2 linked regions of the Drosophila melanogaster genome follow. The protein of the gene in region 2 interacts with the protein of the main gene of each other region in a pairwise test. Each region holds a gene or a part of one and is shown on either strand. Other genes may lie near its edges. The genes, in order: RabGGTb and RabGGTa.

Region 1 (4,284 bases), on a different chromosome or scaffold from region 2:
GTCACATTCCCCATCTGATTTAGTTCGTAAGTCGAATGTTTTGGCAATTTTGTCCAGCAGAAGGCGAGTTTTAGCCACCTGAAAGCGCCGATCTACTGAAAATACGGTTGTAAGCGTATACTTTATTGTGCATTATTTGTTGTTAATTATAATTTTTGTAATAAAGCAAAAAAAAAGTGAGAGCGCACGCTTGTCATCCATTAGGGCTGTGGAGTGATCCGCAGGTAACTCTTTCCGGAGGGCAGCTCAATGGTTTCGATACCATCAGGAAAGAGCTTAGGAACATCTTCGGCTTTGACGGTGGGCAAGACCATGCACTTGCCGCCCTGTTTCCAATCCGCCGGCGTCGCGACACTCTTTGTTTGGGTCAACTGGAGCGAGTCGATCACTCGAAGGATTTCACTGCAAAGGATATAGTTAAATGTAATTTGTCGGATTAATTGACCTTGAAATCGTTCCTATTTAACTTCCATTATTATATGCAAGGTTAGTACTTAGTTTTCAGCAATAATACTTCATTAAATAATTATCTGCTAATGCGATTAAGTGCACGATTGTTTGCTAAAGTGCATTACAGCATTACTTTATAGATAATGATGAATGCTAGATATTGGAATACCCACTCAAAGTTGCGCCCAGTGGTGGCAGGATACAGGATGGACAGGCGAAGCTTCTTCTTGTCGTCCACCACGAAAACGGCGCGACAGGTGAGGGGAATGCCCTCGGCATTGATCTCGTCCTTGTCCAGCATATTAAACTTGAGCGCCAGTTCCCTTTTGTCGTCCGCAATGATGGGATAGTCAAAGGAGCTCAGCTCTGCGAACAGAAACGCCAATTAGAAGCGATTCCTGTCCAGAAATCAGTGACCAAACCCACTGCCAAAGCTCTTGATGTCCTCGATCCAACCCTTGTGCGACTCCACGGTGTCGCAGGACAGTGCAATTGGCTTGACTCCACGCTTTTGGAATTCCGGAATCAATGCCGCCACCCGGGACAATTCCGTGGTGCAAACCGGCGTAAAATCCGCCGGATGGGAGAACAGAATGGCCCAGCTGTCCTGCATCCAGTCGTAGAAATCGATTCGACCCTCGCTGGTCTCAGCCGTGAAGTTTGGGAACTGATCGCCAATGTTTAAAGCCTTTCCGGACATGGTGGATATTTGAAAAAATCAAGAGACGAATTACGAGCTTTTTGGATAAATGCGAAACAAAATTTGCCGCAAAATGCAAATCAGCTGACTGGGCTAGGGTGCCCGTTACCTTTATAAGCTCAGCTCGACCAGGGATGCAAATATAAAAAGAACTAGTTTTCGTATGAAGATGTTAAAAAGAAGGCTCATTGTGTGCATTCATTTTGCAATCATTTCCTTTAAGTGTTTTAAATCTAAAGTATTTTCTTTGACACAAGCAAACGAGTGTTTCGTATATTTTCGAATTTATGAGCTCAAAAAGTGAACCAGTGAACCGAACCACTTACACGTGCTTGCATCCCTGGCCATTACTCATACACACGCACACTATATCACACATACGCGCAGTGTAAACACAAAAAAAGCTGAGAATTTCTTGCATTTATTTGTTTAAATTGAGCAAAGAGGATATAACCATGACAGAACTGAGCATCACTGGCCAGCAGGTGATGCCCCCGCCCGCATGCACACCACCGGAGCCCTTCCGCATCACAACGAACGCCCCGCACCAGATGAACGATGCCAGTTTGACGCCGGGACGCAGGAAGCTCCAGAAGTGGCTGGGTCGAGTTCTTCGGATCGTGATTACGGACGGACGCGTGCTGGTGGGATTCTTCAACTGCACGGACCGCGACGCCAACATCGTGCTGTCCATGTGCGCCGAGTACTTGGTGGAGGGCCAGGAGCCGCGCCTGCTGGGCAACGTCATGGTTCCCGGCCAGCACATAGTCTCCCTAAGCATCGACGAGCCGGATCCGCAGTCCAGCCTGCTGGTGCAATAGTGTGCATGTGTTTTGAATAAAATAAACTAGCTATTTGAAATTTAAGTACGTTTAATTTTTATTTTTGGATGGGGTTATAGTAAACCCCTCCACACTACGCCCCTGCGTCGATCAGCTGTTTGATAAGCCACTGCCGCGTTGCCAACCATCGCGCAGATGAATCAGCTGTGCTCGATTGGATTCACTGAGTTATTTGTTTGCTCGCAGCACTATTCCTGCCAATTAATAGAGTTAATCAAGCGAAACAGCGCGCCGAAGAGGATCTGCCAGCCACCCGATACTCATTCAATTGAGCCCAATCAGCGATGGACTTCACGACCTTCGTAAAGCCCTCAAATGGCGGTGGCGACAGCGGCGGTGGTGGTGATGCGGATGGCGGCGGCCAGAAGCTGCAGTTCTGGAAGCATGTGGAGTACATCGAGAACCATGGGAAGCAGGAGGACGACTACGAGTACTGCATGACCGAGTTTCTGCGCATGTCGGGCATCTATTGGGGCACCACTGCCCTGGACATTATGGGCCAGCTGGAGCGATTGGAGCGCAAGTCCATCATCGAGTTTGTGAAGCGTTGTCAGTGTCCGAACACGGGCGGATTCGCACCCTGCGAGGGCCACGATCCCCACCTGCTGTACACCCTGTCGGCCATCCAGATCCTCTGCACCTACGACGCCCTCGAGGAGATCGACCGCGAGGCGGTGGTCCGATTCGTGGTCGGACTGCAGCAGCCCGACGGCAGCTTCTTTGGCGACAAGTGGGGCGAGGTGGACACCAGGTTCAGCTTCTGTGCGGTGGCCTCCCTAACGCTGCTCGGCCGCATGGAGCAGACCATCGACGTGGAGAAGGCGGTCAAGTTCGTGCTCTCGTGCTGCAATCAGACGGACGGTGGATTCGGTTCCAAGCCGGGCGCCGAGTCGCATGCGGGTGAGTCACCACATCGCCTGTCATGCTTTCGCCCTCACAGTCAATATCATTTCAATTTAAACTTATTAATCTTCTGGGAACAAAAAGTATACTAGAAAAATAGCTAGCCATAAAGCTGGTGCTCATATATGTTATCCAAAAACTAATCTACATATAACCCGCAGGGCTCATCTACTGCTGCGTCGGCTTCTTCTCGCTGACCCATCGCCTGCATCTGCTCGACGTGGACAAACTGGGCTGGTGGCTCTGCGAGCGGCAGCTGCCCTCCGGTGGGCTAAATGGACGGCCCGAGAAGCTGCCGGATGTATGCTATTCGTGGTGGGTGCTCGCCTCGCTCACCATCATGGGCCGCCTGCACTGGATCAGCTCGGAGAAGCTGCAGCAGTTCATACTGTCGTGCCAGGACACGGAGACCGGTGGCTTCTCGGACAGAACTGGCAACATGCCGGACATATTCCACACGCTGTTCGGCATCGGCGGACTCTCGCTACTGGGACATTCCGGCCTGAAGGCCATCAACCCAACGCTCTGCATGCCGCAGTACATCATCGACCGGCTGGGCATCAAGCCGCAACTATTGCCGAGGCCATGAGGGGATTCATCGATTCCACATGCAGCCAGTGCGTAGCCAATGTGTAGTGCAGCAGACCTCTGACGTATTCCCACGCTAGCGTTTCTTAGTTTTATTTGTAAAAAGACCAAAATTCCATAGCAGGAACACCCTTTCTTTACTCATTTTCTTCGTTATGCATTTACCCCTCTATTATTATTAAATATAGAATATTTTGTATAGCGAACGAAAATCAGCAATAAACAAATATTTTACTTTAATTCAGATCAGTTAACATTTGATTTATTTGCAAAGATAACTAAACTAACATTTGCATGTGTGAAAAACCGTGTGAAATGTTTGCGGCTAGTAGTCTAGGTCGTTATACATATTAGGTAAATACATATCATTGTGTAAATTTATGTACATGAGGATACGATACGAGTGTAGGGACTAATTAGTTAAGAAGTTGGCAAAAAACTGCATTACAAATATGGCGAATCACACAAAATTGGAATTACAAACTAAACGCTAAGTGTAGTCACCGTGTATGGGTTAGCTCAATTAGAGGCAATTGAAACGAATCTTGCAGAGCACAAACAAATATTAATCGACCACATCATACATATGCTGTGGACAATGTCCGAGTGTGTGTTCTGTGTGTGTGTGGTGTGTGCGGTGTGTGCGGTGTGTTGTGATTGTAGTATACTCGATGCACGTCTAAGGCACTCTATAAACAATTTCAGCTAACAATCCGTTTAAAATTTATGTCTTCAACTACGGACTAATGGAGGAGCATTAGGAATTACTGAATTTCTCGTCGCTAGTCAGAACGTTGTATG
Region 2 (4,195 bases):
ATTTCTACGTTCTCTACTGTAGACACTATAATTTAACGTTCTATAACGATTTTTGCACTAATTTTACTTCGAATCAAATTTTTTCTTCCTCATTTTTGTTTCAGTGAGTCTCCTTCGTGCAGCTGCGGCACGTAATGACATGCGGCTGCCAATGTTGTGGACGCGCATTGAGCTCCTCGCATCGCCATCCCGTCGCAGAGCATCTCCGCCTCGAGGGTCTTGCATAATTTATATAACCACGAGAGCCGCCAAAAAACCGCAAATCTCGCAGCTCCCCGCTGCACACGCGAGGCGACATCGGTGGCAACAACAGAAGCAGCAGCAGCAACTGCATTTGCAACATGGTGGCAATGTCAAAGAAACCCTCAGCATTGTGGCAGATTCCGGGACCGCTTAAAGTAGCCAGCGTTTCCATGCAGCAGTGTTGATGGTTTTCCCATTTAACTCGTGGAACATTCGATAATGGATGGCTGCGGATGTCATCGATTTCACTTGCGGATAGAAGCAAATTTGTGTTGTGTGAATTCCGACAAAGAGCGTTTTAAGAACTTTTCCTAAAATTCATGTTCAATTTGTTTGAATTTCCTAAGAATAGGAAATCCATCTTGGTAAGCATGGAGCATATAAAAATAAACTCTCATTTCCAATCGAAATCGACCTCGTCTTGGTTATTTCCTTATTAGCAACCATTTACTGGAAAATTAAACTCGGATATTTTACTATTCGTATATTTGCACATCGATATACAAAGAGAGTAAAAATATGTATTAGTAATGTACATAACATTTCTTCTCATACTCGTACAAGGAATAAATAGGAATAATTTCAAAATGGAATTTAGCGATTGATTGCACTTCTTTCAAGGCTTTCAACATCACCAAAAACGGTTCAGCACCAAATGTAAAATATGGCTTATCTTATCGAAACCAATTCACCAATGGTCTATGACTGCAACTTCAAGTCTGCAAACGTTTTGGGCACTGATTCCCCCAATTTGTCTCGCAGTTTGTTGGGCAAGGTTATTTCATCAGCGATGACTAAGTATTGATCATAAGGAAGCGATTCCAGCAGTACGGCATTCGCTATGTCAAATCTTTTGGGAAAGTCGGCCGATTGGGGCCACTTGGCAAGCTCCCACTCCAAGGTCCACCTAGCAGCGAGGTCCTTGTAGTAACCCTCTCTTAAAAAATCCACCTTTTCCAACTTGGCCAAGTGCGCCAAGCTCGTTTCGTGATTGGCTGAGAAATCGATAGCACGCATTAGAAGGGCACTTGTTAGTAGGGTCCACTTGCTGTCCGGCTCAAACTCCAGAAGATCTAGGCAGGATTGCAGCTGCGTTTGCAGCTCCGCCAGGAGATCCTTGCTGCAACTCGTAGTGCCGTGTGGCGGCGCAATGTAATAGGCTCCGTTTTCCGAGCCAGACAGAGGCGAGAGGTCAACCTTCTGATCGGAGAGCCTAAGGGAGTAAGCTGAGTTTCTTTGGTAATCGAAGTTCTGCTGACACTTCCAACTGGTTCCACGCTTGTCCACTGGTAGCCAGAACTCCAGTAAAATCGTTTGTCCTCCCCCAACTAGCTCAGTCTTCAATTGCTTTATATCTGGGTAGGGCTTGTCAAGGGCGAGGACTGCTCCATGTGACTCCAGTCGAAAAGCAGCTATCCTTGGAGCCCGATCCAACTGGGCGCCGCTGCCCAGCAACCAGCGCTGGTAGAACCAAGCACTGCTGTCGTTAGGATCCGTGAAAGCAGCGGTCAGCACCATTTCAAGCTCCTTCTGCAACTTCTCCTCACTCATGGGCCGGTCTCTCTGCTGGTTGGGGTAGAGCTCCGGAAGCAGGAGACTGCGGTGGTGCCAGCTGGAGTAGTTGGAGAAGTTAGCCCTGATCTTCTCGGTGCAGAAGTCCAGCTCCTGGGTGGCCGGCACCATGGCCTTGCCGGTCACATAGCGCCTGTAGTCCCAGGTGTGGAAGTTGCGCTCGTCGAATTTGAGGTACTTGTTGCACAGTTTCACCTCCTGCTGCCAGTCCGCCCTGGGATTCTGTTCCAGGGTCCAGCAGCGGTGGTGCCAGGCGTTGTAGGACTTCGGGTTGACCATTAGGCACTGCTCGGTGAGGTCCAGTTCGCAGGTGAAAATGGAATGGGCCTTGTCCTCGCCAGCGGCCTTCTTTTCACTCGGCTTATTCTCACCGGTTTGGTTTTCCTTCTCTGGCTTCTCCTCGCTGGGCGTCTCGCACGTGGCCTCCTCTTCCTTTAGCCTGAACAGCTTCTCCAGCACGCACTCCCTGCGGATGTTCCACAGCATGCTGACATCCGGATTCCGCAGCAAGATCTGAACTGTCAGGCTGAGCATTTCGTTGTCCAGCTCACCCGCCTCCCTCTTCTTCTGAATCCTTCCCATGGCTGCACGGTAGGCCCGGACTTTCAGAGCCTGCTCCTTCTTCTTCCGCTCGCGCTCCTCCTCCGTGGTCCTCACTTTTACGCGTCCGTGCATTGCCCTGAATTGAATTAAAGTCCAATATTTACAAAATACGAAAATTATTAGTCAGCAGTGTGGCCGCGCCGGGAACGATAAAAAATACCAACCGTCCTACAAGTAAATACCGTCGTATGCCAATTTACTTTCAAGAAATACCCTTTCCATGCACTGGAAATAAAAAATAAAATTTCCCAATTTCCTTACTTAAGTAAAATCGTATTGTTTATAATTCATTCAACAATTTATATTCAACAATTTGAAAATTACCAATAGATGATACTGTAATTGGCGTGTAAACAGCCAAAATACTCAAATCAGGAAGCATTTTAGTGGCGAGACTCCGAATTTATATACAAAATTAACAGAATATGCAAACCTCTGCAACGCAATACAAAATAGGTGCATATCATTCATTCAAACAACTTAACAACTAATCGATTTTATAGTCATTGCAATTCAATTTAAAATATAGAAGAGGCCATGGAATATATGTATTCCAAAGGAAAACATAAATTCAATTTTAAGATGCGAATTGAAAACAAATATTATCAAAATATGATATCTATTACCTTTACAGCAAATACAAAACAATAATTATTTTCCCAAAAAGTGTAAATTTTAAAATTCCACTCTTTATTTCAAAAAGATTTCTTCAATATCTTTGAAAGCAATCTTACATCTCATTTTGAAAGTAACGTACTTTCACACTTCGCCATCCCAAGTTCAACAGTTTTTAATCGAAACACATCCTTAGAAATCGGGATGGTGCCTGAGAAAACACCTTAAAATGCGAAAGCGCTTTATTTTTAAATTCCGGTGTAGGAAAAAAAAAGTTTTATGGGATGTATTAGCTCAGCATAAGTTTCTAATAATTATATATAATCTGATATCTAATCTCATGTTAATTGAACATTTTTTGACCCGATTGTTGACAAGCAATTACTACAGAAGTCTTGTACCTTTTCCTTTCAAAAATGAGCCGTGCCATCATATTTTCGTTGATTTATAAAGTTCGTAGCACATTTTACATTTAATAAGATTTCGTAGCACTCAGGCATTGTCTTGACATATGCAATCTTACACAAGTTCATTGTATCGAACCCCGAAACATCCGGAAGGTGGCACTTAGCTAGCTAGTAAAAGTGGAATTAGTGATTTGGACGCAAGGTGGCGCTTTATTTGATGTCTTAAGAGTAAAACGCAGTGTTGTTTGCATAAACGATTTAAAATTATTAATATTATTTATTATTAATTAAATTATTTCTTAAATAAAATTTTTATTTTTTAATAATAATGGATAATAGAATAACTTTTTTATATAATTTTCAGGGTGTGGCGCAGCGAAACTACTTTAAACCTCAATTTAATACACGTAACTTATATAGAGGGATTAGTAGATTCCTTGATAAGTATGTAACAGGATGCGTTTTCGACCCTACAGAGTATATACATATATATATGGATGATCGCTGCGATATCGGGAACTATAAAAGCTAGATAAGTACAGTTGATTTAAACTTTTTATTATTTGGAAATTCCTTGTAGAATCTGATGCACATGCACTTTTATAATGAAGAAAATCATGAATATTTTTGGTTTTAATGTATAAATTTGGAGTCCAGCTTCAGTTTTATTTCTGTATGGGTTAGCGCAAAGACACTAGAATTCTAGTATTTAGTATTCCTATCCTATCCTTAAATTGTATATAAAATATTTAAAT

The links.
Region 1: the proteins of RabGGTa (region 2) and RabGGTb interact in a two-hybrid assay, tested with the Drosophila melanogaster proteins (2 studies listed by BioGRID).

The regions. Positions count from the first base shown.
Region 1 is NT_033779.5:2,876,988-2,881,271, forward strand, and holds RabGGTb (Rab geranylgeranyltransferase subunit beta), read left to right. Parts: upstream 1-2,124; 5' UTR 2,125-2,276; coding exon 2,277-2,892; intron 2,893-3,056; coding exon 3,057-3,484; 3' UTR 3,485-3,721; downstream 3,722-4,284. Other genes in the region: Prx6a (peroxiredoxin 6a), read right to left, coding at 201-402, 624-816, 877-1,150; Sbat (sabbat), read left to right, coding at 1,606-1,971; NTPase, read right to left, coding at 4,241-4,284.
Region 2 is NT_033777.3:5,126,463-5,130,657, reverse strand, and holds RabGGTa (Rab geranylgeranyltransferase subunit alpha), read right to left. Parts: upstream 2,572-4,195; 5' UTR 2,491-2,571; coding exon 943-2,490; 3' UTR 719-942; downstream 1-718.